Pelodiscus sinensis: one gene and its partner. The protein of the gene in region 1 purifies or fractionates together with the protein of each later gene. This does not show direct contact. Links are inferred from orthologs where the notes say so. Each region holds a gene or a part of one and is shown in the gene's direction. Other genes may lie near its edges.

The links.
Region 2: the proteins of CHCHD4 (region 1) and torsin-1A-interacting protein 1 purify together in Homo sapiens (co-immunoprecipitation; 3 studies listed by BioGRID and IntAct, with this or other methods). This does not show direct contact. The link is inferred for Pelodiscus sinensis from reciprocal best matches to the Homo sapiens genes CHCHD4 and TOR1AIP1.

The regions. Positions count from the first base shown.
Region 1 is NC_134721.1:22,075,558-22,083,342, forward strand, and holds the start of CHCHD4 (mitochondrial intermembrane space import and assembly protein 40), read left to right. Parts: upstream 1-4,765; 5' UTR 4,766-4,903; coding exon 4,904-4,925; intron 4,926-7,785. Other genes in the region: TMEM43 (transmembrane protein 43), read right to left, coding at 554-688, 2,994-3,143, 4,266-4,277.
Region 2 is NC_134719.1:59,452,192-59,459,384, reverse strand, and holds the start of torsin-1A-interacting protein 1, read left to right. Parts: upstream 1-4,193; 5' UTR 4,194-4,403; coding exon 4,404-4,479; intron 4,480-7,193. UniProt on the Homo sapiens protein: Required for nuclear membrane integrity. Induces TOR1A and TOR1B ATPase activity and is required for their location on the nuclear membrane. Binds to A- and B-type lamins. Possible role in membrane attachment and assembly of the nuclear lamina.

The DNA.
Region 1 (7,785 bases):
CTGCATAACTTTTCATCTGAGGATCTTGAAGAATTTCATGCACGTTAAGCTTTCCAAAATCACATGTGACAAAAACCTATCTCCATTTTGTTAATGAGATATATTTAGCATGGTCAAAAGTGTGAAATTCCATGAAGTCACAGAGACATCTCAGTGATGGATAGGATGTATAAACCTTAAAAGACAGGGTATACACCACTCTATCTGCTTACAGGTGAACTCAAACTGAAGAATCTGAGAAAGTTAAGTAATTGGCTCACACTTCTGGCCACTATTGCATCACACGCTCTCTTGCAAAAAAAATTAACTATGAAGAGCATCACTATCTCTCGAACACGCAGAAGATGTACAGCTTCAGCACTTGGTGTCTTCACAAATGCACAGCTGGATTCCAAACATACACCATAAGAAAGGGGAGGAACATTTTTGGATGGGAGATTTACAGCCCACAATAATATTTTATATCAAGCGTGTACAGTTTCAATTTGCCAGTGAAGAGTTTTCCCTCCTTTTAGTTCACGCATTATTTTCAAACCAACTATTGTTTAATTACCTTTGATGTTTTAAGGGCACCTGACAAGTGCACTAGTTTTCCCTCATTCTGTTGAGACATGCTGAAAATATTGTCAAGAGAGACTACAAGAGAAAGCCCCTCATCGAGGGAAGTGGCTGTCTTCAAGGCTCGTCCCTGTAGTCAATTAAAAAAGAGACAAAACAAAATTAAAAAAAAAAAAACCCACACATGTGGAGGTACCAACAGTGCCACTTTGTTAGTTTAATACCAGATGGGGCACAGCTTCCATGAAGTGCTAGTAGGTTATATGCAATAGGCAAAACCTAAGAACACATCTGCACTTCCCATCTGTCACAATTTTATGTCCGATACTTTAGAGAGTAGTACTTATTTGTGAAATTAAGAACACTGACCTTAATGGATCTACTCATGTGCACAGGGATTATCCCACAATCTCTTACTCGTGGGAGTAATCAGGCTAGCAAAAACAGGTGGCACGCTTAAAAAAAACCACACCACTCGCATAGGTAGTTCTACTGAAGCAAATAGAACTAGAGATGTGAACATGTATGTGTTTACACAATTAATCCTAACAGTTACATACACAGCCCTCCCTCTCCCCCCACCACTACTGCCTCCATATCAGAGGTGGAGGGAAAGGGGCAAGGGAGCCAGCTTTTAAGACAACTCCCCTTGTGTACCAGCTTCCAGGGAGCTGCCTCCTCCCCTGCATTGCTGCCTCCCAGAGGCAACAGCATGAGGTGAGGGGGAGGTAAGTACCAGTTCCCATGGAGCTGACTGCCTTCCTGCACTTTTGCCTCTGATATAGGGGGGGGGGGGAAGAGGGGCAGGTGAGAAATGGTGTTTCCAGGGAAACCAGCTTAAAAGCCAGCTTCCTATGAGCACCAGCTCCCACCTACCCCACTCCCATGTAAACATGTAACTGCTGTAAATGTCAGTTACACGTTTACAAAAATAAACACTTAACATCCCTAAGTAGGTAGAACTGCTCCTGATTCATACCAGCATGAGAGTGCAATACATGTAATAATCACGCTGACTTTAATGGACGTTACAGGCACATCGAAGTTGCAGGCTAAGCCCCTGAAATTATTCCTTCACACTTTGTATCTTACCTGTTGTTTTTGAGTAACTGCACTGAGGTGGCACCATTGTGAACTTGTTCCACTGTCTGACTGTTCTGATTTAGTCTAACAATTTTCCCCCTTATCTTCAGATTGTAGGACAAGAAACAATCTCCTAAACCTGTGAACCGTTTCCTTCTTTCATCTAAATAGCAATGGTCAGAAAACTGATGAAAATCTGAAATTAAATTTCACAAAATTCTGCTCCCACCCCAAATGTTCCAACCAGCTTTAACTAGAAATACCACCAGGATAACAGATTACAGCCTCAATCCCACAAACTCTTATGCATGCACTTAACTTTACTATTACAAGTAGTTCTGTAGATTTTAATGGGACTCTTCAAAGTAGTAACGTTGAGAACATACATGTTTGCAGGATCAGGACCCAAGATCATCCTAGGAATGAACTAAAAGAGACAGTTTGACCTAATGCATTAAATAACTTTAAGATAATTTATCTGCCTTGCAATATACCAAGAGAATGAGGATGCAATGACAGTGTAAAAACCTCTGCTCATTGATAAGCTGTTTTCTGAGACCAGTGAAACAAGTCAGCCAGACAACCTATGATTCCCATATTCAATAGTGATTCATTCTGTGTTTCAGCTCCATCCTTATTACAACTGTCTCTGCTGTGCAGCAAGAAGCAGAATTTACAGACACAAATGAGGTGCACTAGCACATAAGACGCATGCAAGTCCATACAAACACTTCCAATCACCAGAGGGGTAGACGTGTTAGTCTGAATCTGCAAAAACAACGAGAAGTCCTGTGGCACCTTATAGACCAACAGATTGATTGGAGCATAAGCTTTCATGGCAAAGACCCACTTCATCAGATGCATGTAGTGGAAATTCCAGAGGCAGGTATAAATATACAGGCAAAAGACAAAAGTTCCAATCAAGAGTAAGGTTAGAGATAAAGAGGTCAATTCAGTCAGGGAGGATGAGGCCCCCTTTTTGCAGCTGATGTGGAGGTGTGATCACCAAGGGAGGAGAAACTGCTTTTGTAGCTGGCTAGCCATTCAGTCTTTGTTTAATCCTAAACTTCTAATCACATTTTTCAACTGCTGTTAACCCATTTTTCTCACCACTTCCCAATCAATCCACTCCACTGCCAATGGATCTCATCTTATTCAGATATATCCTATCAGTACTCTCCACTCAGTTCTAGATGAAACCTGGAATAGGTTCAGCAACATGATGATACAAATATTTAGGAAGAAGACTTTTATCTTGAAGAGCACTGAACTTTGGGCATAAAGGCGAACATACACTTGAAAAGAAATTCAAAGGTTAATAGAAATTCAAAGGTTAATAGTGTTTCACTTACCTCATTGGTAAAAAGAAGGTAAAAAGAGAGACAAAATGCTGAGAGCCCAATTAGCATCCCTCCAGAAGTTTCACTGAGTCGCTCCAGAAACCCTGGCTTGGGCTCACTTGTGATTTTAACATGTTCTTTCTTGCCACTTATGTCAGAGAACTGGTAAAGAAAAAAGCAAACATGAAATAACTTCGTAGCTCAGGCAGAAATTGCTCTGCCACTCATCAGGGCCCACTGTTAAAAAGTTACGTCTCCTGAATTGAAGCAAACCTGATCTCTCTCCCAGTTAAACATGTCTCATCTCACTTTTATTGCTTATAATTATTTATACAAAAAACCCAACTGTAAATGAACTGAGGTTTACTGGATGAGATAATTTACACTGTAATAGTCCAGCATATTTTTTAAACTTTCCAGAGATATGCTTTGCTAGGTTTCTCATTTTGTGTCAATATCCTATATTTGGTCTTTGGCAGGCTAAATTATATTTCTGGTACCCCTACCATATAAAAATGGAGCACTTTACTGTGATATTTTATAGTCCTATGAAATAATTGACAACATTTTTCAAAAAATAAAGTGCTATGTCTCCCTTATGAAGCATCCTGGGCAATAAATGGCTTTGGCTGATTGGATATAAACCAGTGGTTCTTAACCTTACTGCAGCCTGCACCCCTTTGCTTCTCAAAATGTTCTTGCACCCCCTATTAAAAATCGTTGAAGTAGGTCAGTTTTAAACCTAAGATTCATCATACAAATCTGGCATGTCTCGCACCCCCAGAAAAGGCGTCTCGCACCCCCAGTGGGTGCGTGCACTCCAGCTTAAGAACCATTGATATAAACAAACATTACCGTAGTGCTGTCTTGCGACTGAAAGCGAGATACTATTGAAGTGGAAAACGCAGTAGGTGCTTATTTTGGCGGCGGGGAATAACAAGGAACAGTCTTGGAATTGCCTTGGGGAGCTAAACAAGATTTACAGAGCTGGGTTTTTTTTAGAAAATAAGAAGGGAGTGACCATCTCCCACCCCTTTCTGTTCCAATCTGGGCATTGGCTCCAGACAATGTTTATACCCTACATGCAACTGCCCCTTAAGAGCCACACGGGCTTCCCGGAGCCTCAAGAGGCATCTACCCGGGTGAGAGCCAACACGGGAGAGGGAGCAGGCGAGGAGCGCCCTGCCCGGGAGGGAGAAGCAAGCAGCGGGCAGGGGCGATCCGGGAGCGGGGTCGCAGCGCTGCAGGACGGTAGCAGGCTGGGTGCGGGGCTCTCACACTTACATGCCCGGACATGTTCAGCCGCAGCCAGGCTAAGGCAGCAGGTACAAACCCCGAGCGTAGCCGCTAGAAAGTTGCCGCCCAAAGGCCACGCTGTTGCACTGAACACCCTGGCCCAGAGCAGCAACTCCCCAGGGCGAGGCATGCTGGGAAATGTAGTTTCTGGTTTTGTCTCTGTGGGAGCATGCCGGGAAATGTAGTTTCCCAGCTTGCCCGCTGTGGGGCATGCTGGGAAATGTAGTCCGCGCCGCTGCCCTAGCGAATCCGAGCTCTGACAGCCGCTCGCTCTCTTCAGGACGCGACGAAGGACTGTTTCCGAAGGAAGCGCGGCAAAACGCAAAGCACGCTGGGATAGGCAGAAAGGTGACCCCTAAAGCTCCCGCTCTCTGCGGCTCCTCGCGCTGGGCGGCGACCGGTAGAGGGACCCCGCTTCCCAGCCATCCGGCTCTCAATCAGGCGCGGCAGGGGGCAGCCCCCTCCTCCCGGGGTCCTTCCGGGTGCAGGGTGAGAGGTCGCAGTGTGGCGCGCGCCGGCTGCTGCTGCTGCTTCAGGGGCTGGCGGGTACGGACGGGTCGCTGGCGGGGTCAGTCAGGTCAGTCGCCGCGGGCCGGAGCTGCGGAGAGACCAGCCCATCCCTCACCATGTCCTACTGCAGGCAAGAAGGTGCGCGGCAGGGGGAGGGGCCGGCCCTGAGGGGGTCCGGGCGCCTGGGTGAGGGGAAGGGCTCTGGGCAGGTGGGGCCGGGCCGGTGGGGGCTGCGGGCTAGTGGCGGCGGGGGAGGCCTGGGGCGGTGGGGACAGGCGACGCCCTGCAGAGCGCCCGCTAGCCTCGCGGGGTTACGCAACCTGGACTCCGCCGCCCGGCTTGGCCTTGAGGGTTCGCGCGTGTCCCGTCTTCGTGCTTTTACCCTTCTCGAGCATGGCAGCGAGGGGCGTCTCTTGTGACAACGACGTTGAGTCGCCTCATTCTAGCAGGTGCGGTGTTAAGAAAGACACCAAATATCATGAGCAAAATGCAGGACTATGCAGCACTTCAAAGACTCACAAGATGGTTTATTAGCTGATGAGCTTTCGTGGGCCAGACCCACTTCCTCAGATCAAAAAAAATATCATGAGGTTTGTGATATAATAATGAGTTGACCGCACAGTATGTGGAACTGACTGGCACGAAATGTCATTTCGTTCCTATGAAACTCTTAGCCTCAGTAGGGACGAGACACGCATACACATGGTAAAAAGAAGCAGTTCTGCTAGAATGTAGAATAGCAATAGAGATGCAGCCCTGTTAGTAATTAAAACCCTTGTGCTGTGTATCATAAACCAGTTTATAGCTGGAGTTAAGTAAGAACATTATCCTCAGGACATGTTAAACCATAAGGGCTCATCTGCATGGTGTTTTATGGGTCTTGAGTGAATTCTGAAGCTTTCCACCAACCTGTCTTACGCATTTTAGGATTCAAACCCCTCTACATATTATTTTGGCATTTTAAAAAAAAATGTCTTGGAGTGTGATACAGGCCCTGTATAAACTGGTATAGCATCATTATCAAGACAATTATATTATATTGTTAATTATAATAGCTAGGATTAGAGTTTAGGCACTCCTTGTTAATAACACAGCTAATTACGAGACCTAAATCATAGACTGTAGTGCTAGAGGAACCTCAATGTCACCAAGTCAAGATCTTGTTCTGTGACAGGACCAAGTCAGTCAAAATCATCCCTGACTGGTGTTTGACCAACCTGATTTTAAAAACTTTCAGTGATAGAGATTCCATAACTGCCCTTGAAAACTTAATCCAGAGTTTAACTACCCTTGCAGTTAGAAATATCTAACCTAAATCTCCCTTGCTGCTAATGAATCCTGTTATTTCTTGTTCTGGCTTCAGGAGACATGGAGAACAATTGAGCATGAGCATATAACAGCCATGAACATATTTGAAGACTGTTATCAGGTTCCCCCCTTCAATCTTATTTTTTCAAGACTTACCATGCCCATTGTTTTTTAACCTTTTCTCATAGGCCAGGTATTCTAAACCTTTTATCATTTTTTGTTGACCTCCTCTGGATTCTCCAATTTGTCATGGTCATTTTGGTTTTTAATTGTGCCCTTCCAAAAGCTTGTAATCCCTCACAGTTTGGTGTCATATGTAGATATTATAAGCATGCAATCCACTCCATTATCCAAGACATTAATGAAAATAATGAATTGTTCTGAATCTAGGTCCAACCCCTTCAAGACACTGCTAGAAATGCCCTCCCAATTTGACTACTTTTTTATAACAATCTTTCAACTAGTTGTGCAGTAACTTTAGTGTAATTTCATCTAGACCACATTTTACTTGTTTACTTATGAGAATTTCAGGTGGGATTGTGTCAAAAGTATTACTGAAGTCTAACTATAGCCCATGGACCCTACCAAATCATAGCATTTTAAAATTCTTATATTTCATGTTATCAGACATTTTAAATCGGAAATTTCACAATGTTATAACTTTAGGGGTCCTGACACAAAGTATGTGCATGTGTAGGCAGGCTATTGTAGGAGGGCCACAGTATTCCCACCTTTACCTCTGAACTGTTGCTGGCAGCAGTGCTGCCTTCAGAGAGTGGTGGCTGGAAATGGCAGCTGCTGGATGGGTGCCCAGTTCTGAAGGCAACACCACTGACAGCAGCAATGCAGGAGTAAGCATGGCATGGTACAGTATTGCATCCCTTGCTTCTGTGGTACTGATGGAGGTGGGTCTGATCCAGCCCCAGGAATGGCCCATGCAGGGGAAGAGGAAGTCTCATTCCTTACAGCCCATCCAAGGCTAGCTGCTGGAACCAGAGCACCCCAATTCTGCTCCTTCCCAACACTCAGGGGTCAAAGGGCCCTAGAGCTGGCTGTATGTGGTAGAGGGGAGGAGGATGACCATGTTGCCCACCCACAAGGCCAGTTCTATCATCACCTTCAGAAGTGACGCCCCTCCTCAGAGCATGCCACATTCACTTCTGTACTGGTGCTGGTGGCACCACTGTCTTCAGAGCTCAATGCTGGCCAGCAACCACTACTCTCTAGCTGCCCAGCTCTAAAGACAGCGCAGAAGTAAGGATGGCAATACTGCAACTTCCCTGCACTAGTCTGGTTTCATGGATGAGATCAGATTTCACAGTCTGTGATGTTTTTCACCATCAGGAATCTGGTAGGGCCATATGCATCACAGATACTTCTTCACCCGGTATTCATTAGACCAATTAAGGAAGGAAATTAGGTTGTTTTGGCATGATCTGTTCCTGAAAAAAATCCATGCTGGCTATTTCTTATAACACAGTTATCCTGAAGATGCTTAAAAATTGATTAATAATTTGTTCCAGTATTATTTGTGCTGCAAAGTTTGCTTTAGAGGGAGAGTTTGCAGTGATGCATTCTACAGTGTTTGAAATAGCATAGAATTGCTAGAGAGAGGCTTCACATATTTAGCTTATATGTCCTGGACACATTGAAATGAATATTAATTAATATGGCACCAAACAAAAGAGAG
Region 2 (7,193 bases), on another chromosome or scaffold:
TAAACATTTTTTTCTTCTTTAATAAACATCAGACTTGAGAGGTAGAGAGGCTAGGAAGTGAGAAAAGTTGTTGTCCCACATTCTTACGAAGTGCTCAGAGCATGTCCGTGTCTCCTTAAATAATTTACAATGTTCCAGGATGAAAAAAAAGGCATCAGCCTAAATAAGATGGACTTTGCTGTAGGAATGAGGTGCTGTCTTCCTCCCTTCCCCCAGTCCCTCCCAGGTTTAGTAAAATAAAAACCCTTTAGGACCTCTTCATTTTATAGTTAAATCAGCCTTGCCTAAATCATTTGTATATACGTTGTGTGCTGTATTTGCTCAAATCTATATGAGAAAAATAAATCTAATAATGATCGTCAGCACCCTCCTTAGGTGGTTGTGGAGCCTGGAACAACACCCTCTCCTCCCCCCACAGGGCCAGCCCACTACATTTTGGCAACTGCGGCGGGGAGTTCAAATGATGCCCCCTTTTCTCCTGCCTGCCTGTTGTCTCTTGTGCCCTCCTTCCTCCAGCACATCACTTCACCATCTCTGTGCATCTAGAGTAGAGAGAATACATCTGCACCAGCAGCAGACACAATTTTCTACACTTTGGGTTCTAGTGGCGCCCCCCCCCCCCCCCCCCAGTCTGGCACCTGAGGCAGCCGCCTCAGTTCGCCTCATAGTAAGGCCAGCCCTGCCTCTGCCCCTGCCTCCGTCCCCACTCCAACCCTCGTCCCTGCTCCACTCCTCCCCCACCTCTGCCTGAACCAACACTGCCTCCTCCCAAGCAACATGGCCTGGGGAATTACTGGGGGGCCATTACCCCCCTTGTACTCCTGTGGTGGTGGGAAGCAGAATAACCTGGCCCTAGCCTGCTCTACTCCCTGGCTACGTCTTCACTAGCACCCTTTTCCGGAAATGCTTAAAACGGAACAGTTTTCCGTTTTAAGTATTTCCGGAAAAAGCGTGTCTACATTGGCAGGATGCTTTTCTGGAAAAGCACTTTTTCCGGAAAAGCGTCCGTGGCCAATCTAGACGCGCTTTTCCACAAAAAAGCCCCGATCGTCATTTTTGCGATCGAGGCTTTTTTGCGGAAAACACTACTGTGCTGTCTAGACTGGCCCTTTTCTGGAACAGTTTTCCGGAAAAGGACTTTTGCCCGAACAGGAGCAGCATAGTTTTTCCAGAAAAGCACTGATGATTTTACAGTAGATCGTCAGTGCTTTTCTGGAAATTCAAGGGGCCAGTGTAGACAGCTGGCAAGTTATTCCGGAAAAGCGACTGATTTTCCGGAATAAGTGGCCAGTGCAGACACAGCCCCCGAGCCCAGCTTCAAGCCCTGTTGCTCAGGAGACTGGAGGAGGTTAGGACTCTGGCACCTACTTCCGCCTAGGAGATGGCGAAGCAGAGCGTGCTGAGGCTGGACTGCTTCGCTTCCTGTGGCTCCCACGCTCCCTGGTGAGTACGGGGCTGGGCCCGACCCTGCTACTGTCCCAGAACCCCTGGGTAATCACCGAGGCTGCCCTGACATCATAGGGTTCCCCAAAATGCAGGGCTCGGGGCCACCCCAACCATTCTATGGATGAGATAGCTCTGATGATCTTGAATTTACATCATATCTTGTATCCAGATTGATCCCAGATAACATTATATGCTGTACTTGTAAACCACCCTGGGTGCTGTGTGTCATTAAAAATTGTATTTATAAAAATCAAACTTCCATACTATTTGTTACAGGAAAGGAATAATTAGAACTGTTGATTAATCATAGATAACTCACACAATTAACTCAAAATTAATCACAATTAAAAATTAATTGTGCTTAATCACACTGTTAAACAACAGACTACCACATGAAATGTATTAAATATTTTGGATGCTTTTTTAAATTTTCAGATATATTGATTTGTATTATGACACAGAATACAAAGCGTGCAGTGCTCACTTTATATGGTTACATTTGATTACTATCATTGGCACTCTAAAAATGATAATAGTATTTTTCAATTCACCTCATACAAGCACTGTAGTGCAATCTCTTTATCATGAAAGTGTAATTTAAAAATGTAGATTGTTTTGTTGCATAACTGCACTCAAAAACAAAACAATGTAAAACTTTAGAGCCTACAGATTCATTTAGGTTGAACAAGAGGTAGAACTAACGCAAAGAAAAGCAAGTTTTTTTACATCTATGGGAGATACTGCTACCAGCTTCTTATTTCAGAGGACCTCCTTCCATGCTTATGATGGATTCTGCTTGATAACAAGGTTTCATATTATTTTATTTTTGAATGCTGTTACTTTTTGTACATAATTCTATCTTGGTAAGTTAAACCCCCACGATAAAGAGATTGCACTACGGTACTTGTATCAGTTGAATGAAAAATACTATTTATTTTGTTTTTTTACAGTGCAAATATTTTAATAAAGTGAACACTTTGTATTCACTTTGTATTCTATGTTGTAATTGAGAGCAGTATATTTGCAAATGAAGATAACATCCACAAGTATTTAAATAAATGGTAAACTTAAAAAACAACCAATAGTTTAGCAGCACCTTAAAGACTAACAAAACATGTAGATGATATCATGAGTTTTCGTTGGTACAACCCACTTCTGCTGTTGTACCCACAAAAGCTCATACCATCTACATGTTTTGTTAGTCTTTAAGGTGCTGGTAGGCTGATTGGTTTTTTTAAAGTTTTTCCAGTTACAGACTAACTCAGCTACCCCTCTGAAGCTAAATAAATGGTTTTCTATTATTAACAACATAATTAATCACAATTACATTTTTAACCAATTGACAATCTTAGGAAAAACAATATATACATTTATGTTAATTTCATTGTTTTTAATCTCATAACTCTTTTGCACAACATATTAGTGATTTGCAATCGCATCAACCCCCACAGGTAGATATTTCGTTAATCCCATTTTATGGCAAAATTGAAGTACTCCTAGGCACCAACCCAAAAAATGCTTATATGTAGAAGTTGCTACATATATGTGAGTAGCTCCATTGACTTTAATGGGGCTTCTCATGTGAGTTGGGTTTAGTGTGTGTGAAACCGCTTGTTCAAGTACAGGCAGAAAAGCTATGACAAAAGCACTCTGGACTCCCAGTCCTTTGCCTGTCTCATTGCCTTCTCCCTGCTTGTGGCTGTAGCTTTTCCATTTCTCTCAAAGGGCCATGTGGAGACAGGTCAATTTCACTTTTGTTGCTAGTCACTTTCATAGCCCATTCCTCCCAAGCTTGTTTAAAACAAACTATGGGGACCAACTGAGAAGCTTCCCAGAACCATCTCCCTGCCCCCAACTATCATAAGTGCTAGACTTTCCAAAGCTACATGTGGGGGGCCCTGTTGGCCAAGAGCCTCCAGCAGCACTGCTGGGACTGGAGGAGCCCGTTTTAAAACCTATTTCAGAGGCTAGAGTGCTGCAAACTCTTAGGGCAAGGAGCTATCCTGCTTCCACCTCCCCAGAAATCACTGGGGCAGCAGCTCCCAGTGTCCCTTTTCAATTGGTGCTGGAACTAAGGGCGTTGGTGCACCTCCCAGGGCCTGAAGTGGTTTTCATCCCATCCAGGGTTTACACTTTGCTTCACTAGCTCTCAGCCCCCTACCCCACTGCGCAAACTCCTCGCCCCTCGCTTTGCCCCTGCCGCCTGGAGAATGGGGCTAAGGCAAGTCCACGGGAAAGGGGACAGTGCCAGCCCCTGCTCTGTGGGAGAAGGGGACAGAAAGCGAGGGAGGGAGAGGGGAGAAAGGGGGGATAGAGGGGGCGGGGGCCAGAAAGGGGGGAGGGAGAGGGGGCGGGGACAGAAAGGGGGGAGGGAGAGGGGATAAAGGGGGTGGGGACAAAGCGGGGGAGGGGAAAAGTGGGGATAGAGGGAGCAGGGACAGAAAGGGGGAGAGAGAGGGGGAAAAGGGCGGATGGGGGGCAGGGACAGAAAGGGGAAGGGAGAGGGGGGAAAAGGGGAATGGGGGGGCGGGGACAGAAATCGGCCGGGAAGGGAGGATAGCGGGGAGGGGGTAGAGGGGGCGATAGGGGGCGGGGACCAGCCCCAGCTGTTGACAGCTGCGGGGCAGAACAGGGGCTGAGAGCTAAGCAAAGAGCGAGCGCAGCTGTGACACGGTGCTGTATCACGTGACTTCCAGTCCAGCGGGGAGGGCTCGCGGGAAAAGCCCTGCAAGAGAAGCGGCCCTCCCCGCAGACTTCCGCCCTTCAACATGGCCGACAGGAAGTGAGGCTTTCAGGAAAGCGAAGCCAATCACCTAGTTGCGACGGCAGCGGCTTCCGCCCCGGAAGAGCAAGGGCGTGTCCGGACGGAAACGCGGCCGGCGGGGGAGGCGTTCCGCGCGGCGGGAGAACGCGCCGAGAGCCGTCTCGCGCCTGAGCTCCGGGCAGCCACCGCCGAGATGCAGACGCGACGAAGAGCCGCGGCCGGGGCCAAGGAGCCGGAGCCCAGGCGGCGGGGCGCCGAGGCCTCGGAACGTGAGTGACTGAGGAGCCGTTGCTGATCCCGCGACGCGCCCTCTGCTTGAGGGCGCAGGGGAGGGGGGACCCCGACGAGGGGTGGCCGAGCCCCCCTTGGGGGAGCTGCCGCGCTCTGCCCCCCGCTGCGGGGCGGGGCCATCGCCGGGGGGGTTTCCTTGCCCCGCGCCCGGCTTCTCCTGGCCGTTAAACGGTTCCCTTGAGACCGTTGCCAGCTGAGGCGGGCGGGGGGGCCGAGGGGGCGCCCGGGCTCTACCATGTGACCGGCCCATCTGACCAGCAGGCACCTCGGGTTTAGGCAAATTAGCCTCTGAGGGGCCGGGGCCGGGCGGCTCTGGAAAGCGGCCTGACAGCGGCTTTGTTTTGCGCCCCGCTTCGTTCCCTTCCGCTCCCTGCTGCGTCCGCGCGGGCAGCGGGTGGCGCCTGTTCACCTCAACTGGAAACAGCCCCCCGGGCTCCGGCAGCTCTGTGCAGACTCCCCGAGCGTGGGGAGGGGTCGCGAGCGTTCGTGGGCGCAGCCCGGGTTGCTATTCCACGTGTTACTGTTGAGCAGGCAGGGAAGAGATGTGGCCCGAGCTCAGTCAGCCCGGGCGTCGTGCTGAGCATTTTCCCACTCGATTGTCTATAAAAATCGTTAAGGAATCTACATGGAGCCGGTTAAGTTGTGCATTGTGCCACGTTCGTCTTCAGTGGGCCCCAACGCGGAGCCCGTGGGCGCCATGGCGCCCGCCGGGCCATTTATGTGCACTTGCGGAGCAATCTGGGCTGGCCCCGCCCTGGGCGTGCGGCAGGTGTCAGCCCCGGGCGCATGGGTGACCCCTGCCCGGGGTCGCAGCACATGCCAGTACTGGCCCCAGGCACACAGCACCTGGGCAGCCCCTGCCCGGGGTCACGGCACATGCTGGTGCCGGCCTGGAGCGTGCGGCGCATGCTTGGCCCCGCCCCCAGGCACGTGGCCTGTGAGCAACCCCGCCCCCGTAAGCGCAGCACGTAAGCGGCCCTGCCCCCAGGCGCCCGGCAGCCCCAAAATGTTGGGAACCCCTAGTCTTAGTTGTCTTGCCCCAACATAATTTTGTGTCTAAAGTCAGTTACAAATAGACCAGTGAATTGTATTTATCAAATAGCTGATACGCATTAGCTTCCATACAGTACTTACTCATTTAACATGTGCCCACTTTACACGTTTTTGCAATAGCACGATTTTTTTTAGGGAATGTTTTTCAAATAACACAACCGTCCTCGAAATAACAGGATAATAATCAAGTGGCAGACTACTTCACGCTGCGGTATAAGTTGGTGAAAACAGTGATAATACGCAGGGCTCGACAATTAGTGTAATCTACTTGCCTGTGGCAAGTAGATTACAAGCCCGCGCAGTACGCCGCTCAGCACAGCTGGTGAGGGGGGTTCACCGCCGCTTGGCGAGCCCTGGTAATATGCATGAACGGATGAATACACGTGGTCACAGCGCTTCTCTGCTCACTCATGTGTCTGTCTATCTTTGTGTTTTAACAAACCACAGTGACTTGTGTTGCTAGATATCTAATGTTGACGACCCAGCACTAACAAAAAATTGACTTTGCCACCACTGCCTGAAATGCAACCTCCACCTTTTACATTATTTTTAATGGGAAAATTTACCCCGCATAGCACGTTTTCTCTTAGCCTGAACATTTTCAGAAACACATCTATAGTGTTAAATGAGGGATTACTATACAGCTTTAATGTATTTTTAAAATGAATCCCCTAAAAATGGGAATGACACAGATGAAGTTGCTTGTATGCTGTCGGTTGAATTTCACTCTTGCTTTATTCACTATGCACCAAAGACCAAATCTTGCTCTAGTAGTATTTCATAGTAAATTGGAAGCATGGCATTTAGCTTTACTCTATAGCTGTGGTAACGGGTATGCAGGCCTGCCTTACTTCCACAGAAATGTGAAGTGCTGTATAACTTCCTGCTTCTACAGAGTTCTTGAGTGGTGCAGGAGAAGGGGCTACTCTGTACTTGCTCTCCTGCAAAGCTCTTCACGTTGACAGAGAGGCATTTCACACCTCTTTGAAGCGTTGTTTCACTCTCTTTGCTGAGTTTGCCAAGCTTCATTGGGTCTCTTTTCAGCTAGCTCACAATTTCAGTGTTCTCTGTGCAACCATAATGGGTGGAGACTTTTTTGTAGGGTTTTTTTTTGTTTGTTTAGTTTAGTTTCTGGCGCACAAGGTCTCAGAGGGGTAGCCTTGTTAGTCTGTAACTTTAAAAAAGCCCCGAATAGTCCTGTGGCACCTTAGAGACTAACACAAATATATAGATAGATAGTATCATAAGCTTTCATGGGCAAAACCCAGTTCTGATTACAGCAACCAAGGCAGAATACCAGGTCACCAATCTAGGGTGACCTGGCTTGAACTTACCATTGCTATTTAGAAGGGGTATATCTTCTACTTTTATTTTTACTTCCATTCCTCTTCCTTTCTGGTATCTATTTCTTCTCCTATCCTTACACTTTTAAATTAAACAAAAAAGCTTCAGTTGAATTATAAAGCTTGTGCATTTGAATATTTGATAATTCGTTCATGTGGTTGTAGGAGTGATTTTACTAGTGCTTTTATAAACTGAATAACAAATGAATTTCCTGACACTTGTTTTTATTGATATGTGCACACTATTTTACTGGCTTGTTTCTAAAATGCTTTTTTTTTTCTATGTATGTTTTGAA